Linked DNA regions of Drosophila melanogaster. The protein of the gene in region 1 interacts with the protein of each later gene in a pairwise test. Each region holds a gene or a part of one and is shown in the gene's direction. Other genes may lie near its edges.

The links.
Region 2: the proteins of Polr3D (region 1) and eco interact in a two-hybrid assay, tested with the Drosophila melanogaster proteins (one large-scale study listed by BioGRID).
Region 3: the proteins of Polr3D (region 1) and Polr3E interact in a two-hybrid assay, tested with the Drosophila melanogaster proteins (one large-scale study listed by BioGRID).
Region 4: the proteins of Polr3D (region 1) and CG6569 interact in a two-hybrid assay, tested with the Drosophila melanogaster proteins (one large-scale study listed by BioGRID).

Annotation. Positions count from the first base shown.
Region 1 is NT_037436.4:18,107,301-18,111,289, reverse strand, and holds Polr3D (RNA polymerase III subunit D), read left to right. Parts: upstream 1-1,715; 5' UTR 1,716-1,897; coding exon 1,898-2,130; intron 2,131-2,189; coding exon 2,190-2,569; intron 2,570-2,641; coding exon 2,642-2,710; intron 2,711-2,762; coding exon 2,763-3,328; 3' UTR 3,329-3,442; downstream 3,443-3,989. Other genes in the region: mus304 (mutagen-sensitive 304), read right to left, coding at 1-660, 740-1,375; mRpS26 (mitochondrial ribosomal protein S26), read right to left, coding at 3,855-3,989.
Region 2 is NT_037436.4:7,334,813-7,341,182, reverse strand, and holds eco (establishment of cohesion), read left to right. Parts: upstream 1-1,842; 5' UTR 1,843-1,873; exon of another isoform or gene 1,874-1,917; intron 1,918-1,937; 5' UTR 1,938-2,022; intron 2,023-2,141; 5' UTR 2,142-2,291; coding exon 2,292-5,245; intron 5,246-5,307; coding exon 5,308-5,512; 3' UTR 5,513-5,741; downstream 5,742-6,370. Other genes in the region: lark, read right to left, coding at 69-307, 413-1,114; wrm1 (wurmchen 1), read left to right, coding at 6,348-6,370. UniProt on the Drosophila melanogaster protein: Acetyltransferase required for the establishment of sister chromatid cohesion and couple the processes of cohesion and DNA replication to ensure that only sister chromatids become paired together.
Region 3 is NT_037436.4:21,030,227-21,034,138, forward strand, and holds Polr3E (RNA polymerase III subunit E), read left to right. Parts: upstream 1-1,598; 5' UTR 1,599-1,662; coding exon 1,663-1,695; exon of another isoform or gene 1,696-1,724; coding exon of another isoform or gene 1,725-1,754; coding exon 1,755-2,825; intron 2,826-2,889; coding exon 2,890-3,246; 3' UTR 3,247-3,333; downstream 3,334-3,912. Other genes in the region: CG10584 (uncharacterized protein), read right to left, coding at 199-1,023; CG10581 (uncharacterized protein), read right to left, coding at 3,334-3,857.
Region 4 is NT_033777.3:21,865,672-21,869,733, reverse strand, and holds CG6569 (uncharacterized protein), read left to right. Parts: upstream 1-1,814; 5' UTR 1,815-1,890; coding exon 1,891-1,925; exon of another isoform or gene 1,926-1,989; coding exon 1,990-2,329; intron 2,330-2,379; coding exon of another isoform or gene 2,380-2,382; exon of another isoform or gene 2,383-2,407; coding exon of another isoform or gene 2,408-2,440; exon of another isoform or gene 2,441-2,469; coding exon 2,470-2,967; intron 2,968-3,024; coding exon 3,025-3,224; intron 3,225-3,283; coding exon 3,284-3,491; 3' UTR 3,492-3,561; downstream 3,562-4,062. Other genes in the region: CG31174 (uncharacterized protein), read left to right, coding at 220-515, 573-695, 752-944; lsn (larsen), read right to left, coding at 3,562-3,709, 3,773-3,919, 3,987-4,062.

The DNA of each region.
Region 1 (3,989 bases):
TATGAAGCGACGCAGCGGAACAGCCTTTTCGTTATCATACAAACAGCTCTGATGGGTCAGGGAAATGCGATGAACTTCCTCCTCTAGGTTGTGGGGATTGTAGGGATACAGCATGCAGTTGTGTGGAAAGTCCAAACTTTGAGCATACGAAGCAAACTCCGTGAATACCTTGCCGACCGACGAGAGTATTCTTGGCAGGAGGTTATCCACAGATTCCGGCTTTGCCTGCAGCCGAGCGTAATGAAGTAGCAGTTGCTTTAATTCCAGTTCAAAATGATTTCTTCGTTTCTTAGTCTGATCCTCATTTTCGCTGTATTCGAACACACTGCCATTATCGGTTTTCAGCCCGGGCACAGATCTGTGTATGTTAAGCCTATTCAAGCGAAGTGATAAGCGTTTCTCCAAAGGATCTGGAGCAGCCTGTAAAATGCTCATGCTGGAATTCATGCTTCTTTCATGGGCTTTTTGCTGTGTCTTCAACTTTGAGAACTCGGCGTTCTTAATCTTCAACTCGATGTCCTTGGCCGCAATTTGTTTGGCCGCTTCTGCCACTTTTTTGTTGCAATCCCGATTCGTTTCGTCGGCCAAAGCCAGCTTTTCCATTTTGCTAGCCTGCAGCTGCTGGCGCAAGTGCTTCAGCTCATCACGAAGTAAGGAAACCTAGAGAAATAAATATAAATGGATTAGTTTCTGTAAGGTCTAGAATCGGTGTTATAGTTCCACCCCGATGTCCACCTACCTCACCAGACTTGATCTCATTGCGTTCCTTACTGTCGCCCAAATTCTTTTCCAGCTGCGCGTTTTCCCGCTTAAGGGCTTCAATCCTATCCATGAGAAACTTTAGCTGATGCTCCTGCTGGCGGGATTGCGTGGCATTGATGGTCGTCGTGGTCGTGGTTTTCTGCTGAACACTTATGCTGCTGGTAGTTATCCTACTTGTGCTGGTCTTCGGCTCCGGCATCTTTTGTGGCTCACTGTCCATGAGGGTAACGGCCAGAAAATCGAAATCATCATCATCCGCGAAAATCGCATCCATATCCAGGGAAGTAGGCTTCTTTTGTGGCGGCGGTGGCGGCGGAAACATTTGCTGTGTGCTGGTTGAGCCCTGAAAAGTGGGTGCAAATTCGCTGAAGGTGACCTCGCTGTTGCCGATGTCCACCTCTGTTCCGCCCTTCTTTTTCCGCTCCTCCGCCTCGATTTCCGCCTCCGCCAGCTGGGTGGCCATCAGGATGACATCGTCATCGTCGTCCCAGAGAATCCCATCGAAATTGTTCCTCGGTGGACTGGGTCGCGCTGATCCGCGGGTAACGCTAACATCCAGGCGCGGTTTCTTGCACCGCGCGAAGTCTTTCATGGCAGAAAAGCGCTTGGCCATGGTTCCTCCAGTTTCCGCTATATTTCGTTACTTTTTGGCCATGGAAAGTCGTAGATTATTTTGCCGGTTTGCTTTGTTTATAAAATGTAGAGCTCAACTAGCGTTGCCAGATGGATTTGATCGCAACGATGGATTTGCCCAACCAAAATAGAGATTATGTTTCGAATCCATGTTGCATAGAAAAATACTACATTAGGATTTACTGCAACAAAAAGCCAGTTTTGTAATATCGCTCTTTGTTATTATGCTGGTTTTTTTTAAGCGCCGATAGAAACCCGCTACAATCACAGTTTCAAAATCCGATTAATATTGAGCAAAACCAAAGTCATCTGGCTACACTCAAGTCTATCGACTGCGGTGTATCGGCATGTGGTGTATCGACTCAGCTTTCCCATTAACCTCAAAGGAAAATCAAAGAATTCTGCGGAAATTCTAGCCCAAAACTAAAGGACTTACGGGGAAACCAGAACCCAGCGACTTCGGTCGAATTTTCGAGGTGACGGGCGGCGCGAATGGAACGCCATGCCAGCGAAGAGGATGACGGTCACCACAGCAGCAGCTTCGACCATCAGTGGAGCCAGTGGGTCCACCACGAATAATGGTCAGTCTGGTGGCGGTGCACGCCCACTGGAGACGCTAAACGGAATGACCAGGCTGACCCCCGCCCGCGACTTGACCCTTGGTGGGCGCGGCGCTGGGACAGCCAGCAAAAAGGTCTTTGCTCCCAATTTGAATGCTGTGCGCAATAAAAATGCGTGAGTTGTGGAATGGCCCAGGGGGAGTCATTCTTTTCATCATCTCATTTGATTCACAGCAATGTCAAGACATCCAAGGACACCACGCAGCCAAGGAGCGGCCGCAGAGGTGGACGTGGCAACGGCACTGGAGCAACACGTGGTCGAGGTGGAAATTCCGCTGGCGGGGGCAACTCCACGCTCATCCAAACCCAGGGACTCTTCTCCGAAGGAGCAGGCGATGTTCATGTGCGAAGGTCCACAGGAAATGGAACGGCATATGCACGGGGCGGTGAGGAGGTGTCCGTGACCAGGAAACGGGTGGATCGCAAGGACGACAAGAGCCAGGCCGAGCGGATCAAGGAGCTCTTGGGCGAGTCGGACGCCAGTGGCGGCGAGCTCAGCGAAGAGGAGGCTAACAAGACTGAGATGGCACTCAGGCCCATCCTGCTAAAAGAGGGTACGTTTTACAAGCACTTTTTGATGCACACGGGCAGAAGAAATTCATGCTTTATTTGTTTATAAACGTTAGGACTCTGGGTCACCCAGAAGACACCGATTGCGAAGCAAGAAATCGCCAGTTCAACCTCAACACTTAAGGGTAAGGCGCTAAGCTTTAAAAATGGCATAATCTAATTTGATTTCGCTCCTAGACACTTTGGCAGTGGCCCAGCATTTGCAACAGCTGCATGTGGCTGCCCAGGCAGCCAGTTTAGAGGAACCTCCGCTGCAGTACGGTCGCTACCCACGCACCATTGGTAACTTTCTGGACTCCAGCGAAGCGCAGATCTTTCTCATGCAACTGCCAGATGTGTTGCCATGTGTGGGCGACGATTCCGAAGATCCGGAACCGTCTAAAGGAGATCATCAGGCCACCAGTGAATCGGAACCAGCAAGTCCTGCAGACAAATGCTCAAACGGACCCAAGGGCAGTGTACTACGGCAGCTGGAAGAAGGGCAGATCGGCAAGATTCTGAGGTACAAATCCGGTCGCGTTAAACTCCAATTGGGGGACACACGCTTTGACTTGGATATGGGTCTCGATCCGGGTTTTCTGCAGGAACTCATGTCTGTAACCGCCAATCGCGAGCAACGTAGTGGAAACATGATCAACTTGGGACCCATTCAAGCCAAACTAAAGGCCACTCCAGATTGGGTGCACCTTTTCCAGCAGCAGGATGCGGCATCCAAGCGAACGAATCCAGTACCGGGCACGTAGCACCCACTTCCCCATGGTAGATATGTAATATAGTAAATAGGCTGCGCCTAAGCTTAAGTTATTCCTATTCTAAATGCCGTATATAAAAGTTAAATATAGAAATTTTTATAATACAAATGCTTTTCAAAAGGTTATTAACAATTGTACTCGAATATGGAACATAAAAGAGACTCCAAGAAAGATGGGCTTGGAACTTGGGGATATGTAACGTAAATTAAGCCATCAATACTTAATGCAATGACCCAAGATTAATTTTTAGGTTAATGGATTGTTGATATATTATATGTTCAAATTAAGTGATTATTATAATTTCAAATACGGTCTTAAAATTTGAAAAGTATTCTAGTTCTAGCAAATCGCTTTACAATAGCTAGGTTATCCAATTCCTATTCTTTTGCGCAAATCAAATATACTTAAGTGTGTTGTTTATTGTGCAGAAAAATAAAAAAAAACACGGACTTTCAACTTTGGTTAGAAACCTATAAAAAGCATTTTAATGTAACAACAAACTAAGACACTGCATTAATTAATTACTCAAAACTTGCTGGTTGGGTTCGGGAGTGGCGTCCGGGAGCTGAGAGGTGCTTCGTCCGTGGTAAAGATTACCGGCCATATCGATGGCGAAATTGTGGTCCACGGGATTGGCCAACGCTGTCTCAAT
Region 2 (6,370 bases), about 11 Mb from region 1:
ATTAACTTTAGTACACACATATTTGGAAAAGAAAGTGCGACATTTCATCCACTTGCAGGGTTACCTACCCGTAGCGACTCATTCCATTGCTGCTACGCGGCGGCGGAGGCGAGCGCCGGCTGAACATAGTGTCGTATCCACGAGAAACGCTGCAGGAGCGCAGGCTGCCGCTTAAGGTGGGCGGTAGAGGCATGGGTTCGCGGCGAGAGATGGGCGGCGGTGGGAAGTCGCGCATTCGCGAGGTCTGATAGCGACGCTCATACAGATCGCGTGAGTCCTCGAAGCGGCGGTCATAGTAGTCATAGTCCTGCGGGCGGGAAAACAAGATTTAGATTAGTAGCAGCACAGAATGTGAATAATACTTGGCACAATGGATGATTTGATCGGGGGGGCAAATGGATGCTGAATTTACCCTAAAGCCATCCATGATGCGGTCACGCAGGAACGGCGGCGGCGGTGGTGGCGGCGGATACGGGTCACGACCGTACATGCGATCTCTGTAGCCGCCGGCGCTGAGGGGCGATGGCGGCTCGCGTCCGCCTCCGGCACTGCCGTACAGTCGCGGACACTCTTTCGACCAATGCCCGGATCTTCCGCACCGATAGCACTGCTCCGGATCGCCCATGCCCGGCTTGGGGCGGACCCGACTGGTCGACACTTGAACCTTGAGCGGCTGGCCATCGACAACGCGACCGTTCAGCTCCTTAATGGCGTCCTGCACATCACCGACACAGTCCAGATGGACAAAACCATAGTTGCGCACAATGTCGCATTCGACGACGGTGCCGTATTTCTGAAACAGTTCCCGCACCTCCGGCGCCCGCGTCTTGTCCGTTAGATTTCCCACGAAGATTTTCGTGGTCGGCGTATTGGGCGCCCGCCGGCTCTTGGCCGCCTCCACCTTGATGGCGAACTCGTTCAGCGTATAACCGTTCAGATTCTGTATGGCATCGCGACCCTGCTGCTCCGTCTCCATGTGAACGAAGCCATAGTTCTTCACCACGTCGCACTCGACGACGGTACCGTACTTCTCGAACAGTGCACGCAGCTCGGTGGCCTGTGTCTTCTCGTCAAGATTCCCGATGAATAACTTGAACGTGCCGGCTCCGGGCATGGCGGCAGCGGGTTCCGCTGCGTGGTCGTCCACGGTTATATCGTTTATATCACTCTGGGTGGGGTAATCCCGGAAAATGGATATCTACGCGGCGGCGGCGGCGGCGGCTGCGTCGAAAATATATTTATATATATTTGCCTATATGTTTGTATGTATATACCGCGGTTGGAGGACGACAACGGCGACGAACAAACGCGATACCTCAAGAGAAGAGAGAAGACAGTGCAATTGTTTTCTATTTTAACCAATACGAGCAAAGGATAAACATTAAGGCAGCAGCACAAGGAGCGCGAGTAATCTTAATAAACTCGGTTTTAAATCGCATTATTGGCGTTGTGGCCTAACGCATACATAAAAAAAGATGGCGGCGGCTAGAGTTCACATTTTCTCACGGTTCTCGTTGGCGTGGCTTTCAAATGGCGGTACGGATAATGTGGGGGAGCTAACTTACCTGATCGGCAGCGGGCTTTGGCTGCAAATTAAATTATAAACGCAGAGCTTTATACTTTCTACTTTCCAGGCCGAGCAGCAGATTTTTCCAAATCGATTCGCACTTCGTCCGCAATATGACCGTGTGACGTCTGGAAGAGTGTGACTGAGTCTGACTTGGGTGGAAATACCAGATAGAGTTTTCCCGTTATATGATCACCTTAGCTCTGTAAAAATACCGGATAGTTAAAATAATACGGAAATCTTTAAAATATATGAAGATTAGAAAACATAGAATGTCTAGCGATCATGATCGTAACTCGTTAAGTGGTACTATATTGAATACTTTGTCTTGGATCAAGAATATAATTAACATTACTTATTTATTTTACAGAAATCGTAGAATAAGTCCAAATAATTTACGAAAAACTGCAAGCTGACTTGATCGCTTCGAAGAAAAATGTTAAATGTAAAATGTGGTAAAAAAATTATAACTAACAGAAAATATTTACATTGCAATGTATTTGATTTTTATAAACATTGATGTAAAAAAAATTTAAAAACAATGTAATGCATTTAATATATATAAACATTGCAGTAAAAACATAGACGATCTGGCATGTGTTGGCAAACGACCGAAGAGACCCTGAACGATCCAACCACCCCCAACACTAGGCAGCTACAAAAAAGCGCGAAGGAGTCACAATTTGGACAAAGTTAATGCGAAATAAAAGATTTGCGCGCGATCATGGAGACCCCGACGGGTAGTGGGCGTCCCAGTCGCATGGCCACTCCGCGCCTTTCGGAGCGCAAGCGGCAACTGTTTGGCAGTCCCAGATCCAGGCTGCGCCAAATCAACGACGACGAGGATGATGCGGACGTAGACAGTCTGGGTGTCTTGCCATTAAAGACCCATGTGGCGGCCAACAGGAAGGGCAGGAGTCTCTTCGCCGCAGTCCCCGGCAAGTCAAGCAGCAGTGCGAACAGCAGCCCGGAAACCAACAAGGAGAACAAAAAAACCCGTGGCGGAGTCATGACTGCCACGGCGGAGCAGCTGCCCCAATTGTTTACAGCCACCATGCGGCTAAATAGCAACAGCAGCAGCAATAGTCGCAACAGCAGCCCCCGTCAGACGAGGGTCCAAAGAAAGCGAGCGGATTCTTCAATGTCGTCGCCCACCTCTTCCTCTGAAGGAACTCCTTCTTCCAGAGCCAGAAATAGCATCAGACGCAGTCCACGAACCTTCAGTGCGCAAAAGGATCCAGATGCGTTCTCCTCGCCAGAATCTTTTCAGACTAGGCTAAGCAAGGTGGCAGCTATGCTAATGAAGGGTCAGGATTCAAGATCAATGTTAGAAAAATCAAAGAAGAAACACAACCACAGCCTAAAGACCACTGCCCAAGTGCATACAACTAAACCGAAGAAAACGAGCCCAGCTGAAGAGTCCCAGTCGGACGACGAGAAACCTTCTAGCAGTAAGAACTCCAGGAAGAATACAGAAGTTCGTGAAACAAGGAGCTCGCAAATCATCAGTCCAAAAACCAGGAATAGGCGAAGACCCTTCACGTCGGCGGATATAAACTGCAAGACGCTGAAGGCTGCTGCCCATCTACATGAGAACATGAGGTCGTATGATGAAGAAAAAACAGCAGCAGTTAAGCTAGAAAACAGCAGAAGCAGATCCAAGTCCCCGGTAGAAGTGTTCAAGTCAAATGACGATGCAGTAAAACGAAACACAGGAAACACCAACAATAAAACAGCGAAATCTTCCGAAGTTGCCACAGCAAAAAGGCCAGAAAGCCCAGGAAGTAGTATGAAGATTGATGTCGAAGTGCCCGAATCGGACGAAGAAGCATCCAATCATAAGCCTCAAAAGCGACAGCACCCAGAAACGTCCACCCCGGTTGCTCCTTCAGCGGACGCCGACTCTGGTTCGCCGCAGAGCAAGATGCGCAAGGTGACGCTGAGCAGCAGCATTCCCACCATGGCCTTCTATTCCCACAGTGGAGAAGCGGTCACAAAGTCAAGAAGGCGGCCGTCCATATCCAAGAATTCGCTTAAACAACCAACGAAAATCTCGCCAACCTCCCGTCCACTATTGGGCATTAATAAGGGAGTTCACCACAAAATACGCAAGCGTCACGGTTTTGCCAACCGACTGCCAGCCACCGATATGGACAACATTCTCAACTCGCTGAGCAACGAACGGCTCAAGAACCTGATCACCACCAAGCGTGAAGAGCGCGCCAAAGTGGAGGAAGTCCACCAGATTCTCCGTAATGCCAAGGACCCGATCAAAATGGCCAAACCATTGAGTGTGATTGAAGCCGACGATGCTAACAACAATAACAATCTGCCAGCAACCGCATGGCAAGAAACTTCCGCCGATTTCTCCGATCTTAGTGATGTCGAAGACATTGATCCCATCATCGAGGTGGAGCCTATCATACCAATAATTCGCCACGAGCCGGTCCAGAAATCCCCAACCGCCGAGCCAGCCGATCTAAGCAAACGAAAGTTCTTCAAATCGGGCCGCCGTAGTAGCACCTGCATGGAGGTGAGAATCACGGACAACATCCGGGCCAGCGTCAGCCAGGGCAAGATTGAACTCGTCCAAACGATACGCCGTAAGCCGCGGCAAGTGCGCGTCAAGTCGGCCACGATATTTTCCGCCGAGCAGGCGACTGTGGATGCGATCCTAAAGAATCTGGACGATACGGTGGTTGATGAGATTGTAGAAGCGAATCCGGTGGTACAGGCAACGCCCATTGATGCGGAGGAGACGACCATGGAAACGGAGTCGCTACCGGATATAATTGAGTATGCCCCAGAGGCGAACGATGTGGAAATTGATCCCTTTGCTGAGTTCCGTCAACGTTTGCCATACCAAACCGATGATCCCAATGTCGTGGAGCAACAGCAAATTTTACTAGAGTTTCTCATTAGCAACAATATTTGCACCGAAAAGAACTTTGAGATATTTATTGCAAATCCGGATGACTACAAGGACGAGGCCAATCAAATTGTGGACAATTTATACATGGTGGTGAACAGCGAGGAGGCTGCGCAGCTTGCTCAGATGGAAACAGTGGAAAATACAGCGGTGGCCATTGCACCAAAACAGGATGCGCCAGCAGTAGAGGAAGTTCAGCCAAAGCTTTTCCCCATATTCACTCAACGCTTACAGCCCGTTGTCCAGAAATCGTTGCGGCGTCGGCCGGATACATCGATGAGATTGCTAACGGCGGCGGGTGGATCGAATCAGTACCAGATCGATGCTGGTCAAAAGGCCTTCGGAGCACGGCAGTGCCAGCAGTGCGGATTGGTGTACACCGTGCACGAGCCGGAGGAGGAGCTGCTTCATCGCGAGTACCACAATTCCATCCATGTGCTGCGCTTCAAGGGCTGGATCGACGAGGACATTGTGTCCGTTTATCCAGAATGGGCCAGCGACGGGCGCATCATACGGATCAACGAACGCGCTCCGACAGCTCGGCTCGACAGACTGCGGGATCTCATTGGTGTGGTGGACAAAGAGCTGGGCTATTCCTCGTACATTGTGCCAAAGATCTTTGTAGCCTTCATAGCAGTGCGCAAGCAGCAGATCGTAGGCTTCTGCCTGGTGCAGCCCCTCTCGCAGGCCCATCGTTTCATCCAGGTCGATGGCACGGACTACTTCAGCGAGGAAAGCTACCCGGCCAGGTAAGACATCCCCTACTGCATGCCCCTTCCCTTGTCAACGGCTAAAATGTGCCTTCTTTCAGCTGCGGCGTCTCACGCATCTGGGTTTCTCCGCTGCAGCGACGCAGCGGGATCGCCAGCAAGCTGCTGCGAGTCGTCCAGTGCCACACGGTGCTCGGTCAAGAGATCGCTAGGGAGTGCATTGCCTTCAGTACGCCCACCGACGATGGTCGGGCTCTGGCACGCCAGTTCACCGGGTTGGATAACTTCCTCACCTACGACCAGTGATCGGGGAAATCTATTGAAGCTATTGAATAGCTGGATTGTTTTTGAGTTAGGATTGCTTCGAAACCTGTAATAGTTGATAAGCAAGTGCGATTATGTTACTAGCGGCACGAAGACGCGCAATTTAACATGTTTACAATGGTGGTTTAATATGCCTGTTTTTACGCAATGAACACGATATTTTCTTCGAGTCGCATTAATTTTGAAAATATAGATTAATATTGTTTATCTTACGTGTCGGGTTTTAAAACATGTAAATTTGGTGTTACAAAAATAGCACATACGTTAATTTTTAAATTGTATGTTTATAAACATTGTTTAATATATTTAAATTCTAACAAATAACTTAATGTCTAAATGTATGCAGTAAAAAATTTACACAACCTGCACTTGCGATCGATGAATGGTTATCGATCGCTTGCAACCATGCGGCGAGTCCACAAAGTGCCATCACTAGCACACTGAGCCTGGCTTTTGGGCGTTGTTTTCGTAGCAGCAAAGTGGCTGAAATTAATAACATTTAAGAGCAGAAGTGTGTAACACACCTGAATGGGACTTGTGCCAATCTCAGTGACCACCAATCGCGCGCAAATGGTAAGTGCAATCCGCATATAAGCTGCTAAGTGGGGAGCTGCTGGTGCTGCTAGTTAGTTTACTTTGGTGACGCCACGCCCAATGTGACAAATTGGAATCGGTGGCAATTGGTTTCGGGGTGCAAGTGGCATGCAGCGTGGTGGTTGAACCGCTTTCTCACTCTTCTTCCCCTGCCCTCCAGACCATTGAGCATTGTGCAGCAGGCTATTGAGGCTCTTGCAAGTGACCACACCCCTATAAGACTATGTCCACAATCGAAGAGGAACG
Region 3 (3,912 bases), 2.9 Mb from region 1:
TGAAATACAAGGCAAGAGTCCCAATTTGCAGCCAATAATTTTCCAAAAAAAATATCGTCACAATCAATGTTATTAGTTTAATTCCGGTGATATCTCAACCTAACGTAACAAAGCCATAATTTAACTAAATTATTAAGGTACATCGAGGGGCCATTTGAATCTAAGAAGCGGAACGTCTTTATGTGTGATTTACGCATTTTAACGACTGATGATCTTCATCAGAACCAGTTGCTTGCAGCGATCGTACTCGAAATACTGGGGGAAATCCAGAGGCAGGTGCTCCATGATCCACGGCTTGTTCACCGTCTGCCGGATGAGGTACTCATACATGGGAGCCACCGAATCGCAATCCTCCAGTGTGAACACATAGCGCTTCTCCAGTGCCATGTATATCGTTTTGGGTCTCCCAGTTTGGCGACCTCGATCCAGGAGGTTATCCAAGACGCAGATGAAGGCATCGGTTAGCGTATCACAGTAGATGACATCGGCAGCTAGGATTATATCGCTATTGTCTATGGCCTCCAGCAGATCCTGCGAGTGATCCTCTTTTGAGGCGAGAAAATCAAACTCCAGAACTGATATCGTAGCGCGGAGGAGTTTTGAATTTCTTTGGACATTGCCGCGGATCAGCTTCAGTATGCATCCCAGGTCCACATCCGTGCAATAGATCCTTCCGTTATTGTGTATTCCGGCGGCAATGCTGGTCAGGCCGACACCAGCTCCCAGTTCCATTAGGGTTTTCTGGGAAAACTCATCCTTTTTGGAGAAAAGGTAGTCTGCCAGAAGAAGGGCTCCTCGCCACACCTGCAAGCCCACCAGCCGGAGCTCCGTGGCCTCGGAATGTTCCAATTCGATCACGCCACGTTTCGGCCTTGGCACCTCAAGGTCGCCGTCTTTATCCGTCCTAATCCCCGCCAGCTTCTCCTCCGGATAGACGAAACGGAACTTCGACAACACCTTACCTCCATCGCGGGTCGTCTGGTAGTTGTTCTCTCCGTAGATCTCCGACGTGACCGTGAACATGATCCGGTTATGTATGCGGCCAAGAGCATAGGGTATATGAATTTAATGCTGCGGTCGGTCGAGACATCTTCCCCGGGCGTCGTGGTCGATTACAAAATCGGTATCGCCAATCGGTAGGCGGAAATTGTGTTTGCATTCTGTCTTTGCACAGTGGATGGGGACACATATATTTTAATAATTTGAAATTATTTAAATTTAGTGTTTATTATTTATGCACCGAAGAACTTTTGAAAATGTTTAATATAAACTATAAACTCGTTTCGCTTAATTTAAGGCAAGCATATATAATCACAGTACTTAATCGTATCTCACGGCTAAGTTCTAATAATTTGTGCACATCTTAAGATTAGAACCAGAGCTCTATATACATATATGTATTGAAATTATTTATTATATTTAATATACAACTTAGTCTTCTTAAAAGGGAATCACTTTAAATTACTATGACTTTTTGATGTTTTTCATAGTGAAAATGTATTATTCAATCTCGAGCCTAATGAGAGATAGTTCGAGTGATTGTATACCACTGTGCCGATCAGCTGTTTGCAGAGCTGGCTACCGAAGGAAGGCAACCTGGTCACACTGGATATTTAGGCGTGCACCGTCGGCAGACAAAACTATCAAATCGAAATTTAAATTATGGAAGACGAGGACGATCCCGTCGTGGAGGAGGTGAGTATGTGAGTGGCACTATTATTACCATGAGAACAATGCCCGCCCATCCCCACCAGATTCCCGTATTCCTGTCGAAGAACCTGAGGGACAGCCTGTATCTCTTTCAATACCCCACGAAAACGGAGCTCCCCAACCACGATGACTCCGTGATTGTCAATTGTTGTGTAAAACCAATCGCCCAGGAGGTGAAGGTGGACTTCGGCCTGGACATTGAGTCGGCCCACTTCGATCGCTTCAAGGGCGAGCAATTTGCGGTGGCCGCCGACGGAAAGAACACCTATGGAGCAGTTCCACCAAAGGGTCAGGAGCGACCCACCTACAAACGTGGCATCATGGACAAACAGGCCTTCACAAGCTCGCGTTCCATAACCGATGTGGCCAAGTACATAGTGGGCATCTTTACGGATCGGGAGGTGCATCTGTCGCCACTTACATCCATAGTCCAAATGCGACCCGTTCTCAGTCACTTCGATAAGGACGACAAGCGCAAGAAGGCGGAACTGAAGGCTCAAACGGAGGACACGGACGATGACGAGGTGCTGCAGCAGGTCACGGTTAAATTTGCACGAGGAAATGCCAAAAACAGCGGAAAGGAGCAACGTGTCGGCACCTACGACAGTTTCGTCCAGCGAATTGCGGATGAGCCGTGGTGCGAGGCCTACTGGCACTCGAGGGGCACGCCCACCGCCGAACTGGAGCGCCAGAAGCTCTTTGCCACCAGTCATCACGGCAGTTCCTCTTTGGCTCTCGCTCCTGACGAATATCTTCGAAAGCTTCTGCCCTACGACGAGCATGTGCAGACGGTAGCCCCAGCAGCTGCTTCTGCTGCCGCCCAAGTACTTCCCGTCTACAACAAGGCCATGCTTAAGTCTATGCCGCTGCTGGAACAGCTTACAGTGCTACTGAGAGATGCGCGGATGCTCTCGTTCAGCGACGTCATTAGTATTCTCGCGGAGCACGTGGATCCGCATGTGGCTGCCGACAAGGTGCTGGCTTTGCTGCCCCAGGTGGGCATCCTACTGCACGGCAACTGGGTGCCGAAATCCGAGGTGGTCTTTCCCGAGAAGGTGCTTTCCCATGCGAACGGTGTGTCCGCAGAGCAGATGATTCGCGCCAGAGATTATATAGTGAGTTATAGTATGGGTGTAGCGATCACTTATCTTGTACTAATCTCCTCAAATCCATCCGCAGCTCTTTCGTTTCTCCCGCACGCCCTACCTGTTCCGAGCTCAGGTAATGGCCGCCACCCAGTTACCTCCTGCGGAAACACTTGACGTTTTGAAGACTGTGGCCCGGGTGAATAACACAAAACGGTGGGAGCTGCTACTGCCACCCGACAAGGAGTTCGAGCAAAAGTACCCGGAACTGGTCAGCCGACAGGAGTACCACTGGACCGCTTCCGAGCAGCACTACAATGAAATGGACTGGGCTAGGGAAACCAAACGTGTTCGGAAACGTTCGACGAGGAAGAGCGAATCCCAGTCACTGACTTCAGCCATGCCGCCGCCCGCAATGAATCACTCAACAACTGGCTCCGTGGATGCGTAGCATCGGATGATGATCTCCCAGCGGCGGAGAATCGGCAGCACGATTATACATCTAGGCACTATTAAAAAGACCAACAATTTTACTTTGTTAAAGAAGTGCTTTTGTAATCTCTTCTGTAATCTCTCCAGCCAAGGCGTTCCTATTGAATTTGGTCACCTGGTAAATCTTGGATCCTGCTGACTTTCTCAGCTGCTCCACCAAAGCCAATGTTGATTTCTCGGGTATGGTGACCAATAGGGCCCGCTTTTTCTTCAGGAGATCAGCCATGGCCGACTCAAATCGCTTGCTAAGCAGCTCCATTTTGCCCACTTCATCCACGACCAGGAGATCCGGCTCTGGTTGGGAATCCTGTGTGCCAAGTACTGGCAGAGCGAGACTGTCGAAGTCCTGCACAAACACCGAATACTCTCCCACTTTGGGTCGTCGCAGCTGGTCCCCGGGATTCTTGCGAGATAGGATTGCTCGTTTTCCGGCTAACGTGACCACGTCGAAGCCGATTCTTTGGCTGGTGCCCTCACCTCGCATTTCCTCTGTGTAGAATCCTTGAAGAATGCGTCCTCTATCCTGCAGAGCCGAGCATATTTTGTGGACCAGTGTAGTTTTACCCACTCCTGAAAATCATGATTACATACATAATAAACAAATAGCAAATATTTTCCCAGCTAA
Region 4 (4,062 bases), on another chromosome or scaffold:
AGCTTACTTTGGGTAAAAATAAATTTATGGTATTTACGATAAATAAACAAATGCGCTTATTACTCGAACTGATTTACTTTGTGATCGAGAAACAAATGGAAACATGTTCCCTTTGCATTTAGTTTACTATCACCATTTAATTCAGTATAAATTTATCGAGTTATTGGTCTTAAAGCCAAGGATATAAAGTTTTAGGTTTTGGTTCAGAATCAGGACGATATGGACGACTTGAACGATGTCATCGCAAATTTGAGCATTAAATCCAAGAACTTTATAGATGAGGCTGCAAAATCATTAACCCCAACAATGGTGGGATTCAAAAGAGAACCTGAGCGAAATCAAAACTGTACCTACTTTATGCAGAATACCTGCCAGCTTTATCAAAACATTTCTAAATCCCATCCCAAGATTGAAAACAGTGTTAAATTCGATGAAGATTTTGTGATGCATATGGAACCTGAGATCAAGGTGGAATGCTCTGTTGATGATCCCAATAAAGAAGTTCAAATTTTGCTGTATGATCCTAAATCATTTACGTATAATATTTACATGAACATTTTTTTTTAACACAGAAAAAAGGAACGCTTGAAGCAGAAATATATGGAAGCTTTGAAGCTGGATGAAAACCTTGAAGCTAGAGTGAAACAATCGGCCATTGAATCCAATCCCGATATGGAGGAACAACAAGCTGAATTGTGAGATCATAACTTTATTTATGATAGCATTTACTTAACTTTATTGGCATTTATAGAAGAAAACTTCACAAGGATCAAGTGGAAATGTACAAAGGTGTGCAGGAAGAAATTATGGTTTCCTTCAAGAGAGACATGGATGATCTAATGCAACAGTATGAAGCTGAGTACTCGCGACTTAGTAAGGTCCACTCTAAGTGGGTAAATTCCGAGAATGATTCCACCAATAACTCAAACACTCATCAGCCTTAGTCATCGCTTAGGAATTTTTAAGATTTTAGCATTTTATTAGTGAAATCAAAACGTATTTATGTAGTTTCTTGGGTTTTAACATTTGACAATAAAAAATATTCAGTATATCAAATATTTTGTTTATTTTATACAGCTTTTTTATCACTTTTCCTTTGGCTTCAGCTCACTTAGTTCCGTCGCGCTCGGCCAGCAGATCCAGCATCACCTCGATCTTAAGATTACACATATTGTTCTCCTCCTCGAGGGCACGAAACTTCTTGTTCAGCCGGAGCATATCATCTACGTCACCCTTTCGGGTCGAATGCATCCAGATGCCGTCCGCAAAACGCAGCTCCTTGTTGCCCAGCGTTAGGGAAATCTGGCGGAAGTCATCCAGATCCTCGGTGGCCACCGGATGTCCTATATTGCAACGTCCCTGACGCACTGGAATCGGCTTCGACTCGAACTTCTTGTTGAAGAGCGGCATTGCAAACAACTGAAACGGAAAGTTGACCACATTTCGATTACATCCCCATTTGTTTGCCACTGCCCCGTTGCCCAGGACAACAGACACTTGTCAGGGGATCAGCGTTCGCGGCAGGACTCGTGCCAGGTTTTTAATGGCTAGTAAGACCGTATCCATATGTACCTGCTTGAAGGGTAGCGGCTGGCTGTCAGAGATTGACGAGGGGCAGCAAAAGGTTGCCAGTTGCATAAAATCGGTGAAATACAGAGAACTCCTTGCTGCACGCGGGGATACGGATGGATTTCTAAGCCAAACTGCCTTCAACAGGATTTTAAATGCCTGATAATTTAAAAGACAAAGCTTGCTTCATCGCAGAAACTCGTCTCATGTCAAACATAAACATTTTGTTTGGTTCATTGATGAAATTCTATACAAACACACAATAAACCCGATACACAACTCTGCTGTGAAAAATAATATGATTCCAAACACACAACAAATATGACACAACACGAAAATCAGCAAGCCATTCTCAGGTAGGAGAGCAAAGGAAAATTTGTCAACTAAAGTTAGTCAACGCGCAGCCAATTCACCATTTAGCAACTTTGTGCTGGAAATGTGTGAAGGAGTGGATCGACTGATGCGGGATCAGGCCGAACTGAAGGTTCACCTCAACGAAATTCTAAATGAGAACCGCCGGCTGGACATCGAATTGGCCAAATGCAGGAGCATCTTGGTTAGCGGCGATTACCAGGAGCTCAAGCATCGCCTTCAACTCAGCAACAAGGCTTTGGACGCGTCCAAGAAGCAGGTGGATGAGCTTATCAAGGAACGGAACAGCCTGAAAACCATGCATGACCTCTCCAAACAGACCATCGAAACCATGGAGATGGATCTTAAGAATTATCGCGTCCAATTGAAAATGTCTGGAGATGACCAGGTATTATTGCACTTCATCATTCCAATCCCGTATTGATTATCATATTATAGTAAGCTTTGACCAAATCGTATGTTTTAGGGACCAGAGACTAATGGAAAAATCCTAAAGTAAACTTCAACGTTTTCGGAATTCAATTTTAGGTCATACAGCGGTACTCGAAGATCGTCAAAGTGCTGGAGGCAAAAGTTGAGGACCAGCAGAAGGAGATACGCACGCAGGCGGAGACCATAAAGGCCCTGCACGATCACAAGCAGCACAGCGGATTGCAACTCCAGCAGCTGCATGCTCAACTGCAGGATAGCGAGCAGAGTCAATCCAAGGTGTCCATCCTGCAGAAGCAGCTTAAGGAGTACGAACTATCGCTGAGCCACACCCACAATTTGCTCATGGAGAGCACAAGACGGGAAACCGCCGCCATGCGCAAGCTCGAGGAGGCTATCATACTCAGCGAAGAGGCAAACAAGGAGAAAATAGATGCCACAAAGCTGGCCGAGACCTACAAGGAGGAGATGACCCACCTAGCCTCCAATATCGGTACCATAATGGATGAGGCCTCCACACGCGTCGACGTTGAAGTGGGCCATCTGAAGAATATGCTCAAGCAAAAGGACATTATAATTACCACCATAAAGGAGAAGGTAAAAGTCTATATTCGTATAATAATTATCACTTATAGTTACACTTACAAATTTTAGCTGAAAAAACTGGCTGTCGATCATAAGTCGGTGGTGCACATGCTGGAGACCCGGAGCAATCGCCTGGAGCAAAAGTACAAGGAGGTGCTGAAGCAGAACGATAAGCTGGAGGCCGAGTTGGAGGCAACTTGCCGGCGACTTGGCGAACTGGAGCGATCCGTTACTGAAGCTTACGGTGGGGATGCCGAAGATGCCAGGATGTGAGTATACAACATAGACAATTAATGACAAACATGATTATAAATCATAACGCTTTTAGAAAAATGTACTATAAGTCTCAAATGGATCGCTGCATAATGGATCACAAGAAAATGAAGGAGAAATACCGCGAGGGCATGGAGGACATCACGCAACGCTTCGAATCGGAAATTTACAAGTTAAGGGAGGAGAACTCCGTGCTGCTGGCGGAAAACGAACTGCTTAAGAGCGGTGCCGCAGGCGATAGCTCCAAGCAGACTTCACGCTGATTTTACGGTTGTACAAATATATATTTTATGATAACTCTCGTACATAATAAATTAGTTCTACGAGATCACACTATGTGGCGGCCGTTGTCTGTGCGTTTCGACCGGGAAACAAACTGGGAAACCAATAGGCTGGCTCATCGCCCGCCTGCTTGTCAATCCAACAGAGACCTTCGCCGAGCACCTTGTCCAGTGACTGTTGAGCACGATAGTCGGTCCAGCTGAGAACGGATAACACGGAAATCAAAGGGATATTCAGTTGAAAGTACAAGTGAAATTCTTACCCCAAATCCTTGATCAGCTGACTCTGCGTAACACAGCCTTGTTCGGTATTGGATGCGGCATTCAGTATGTTGGTCTCCTCCATGCTCAGCTCTCCGGGAATGGACTGAACTATGTACTTGCCCTTGCCCAGCTTGTGAACCACAAAGCTGAAGGTACGTTATGGAAAACGAGAAACTTGTGATATTGAATGCAAGCAGAGGTAATGACCCATACCCGTTGCCAAAAATGCTCAATTTCTTAGCGGCCATTAGGATGTCCTCCTTGGTGATCTCCTGGTGCACTGAACTCT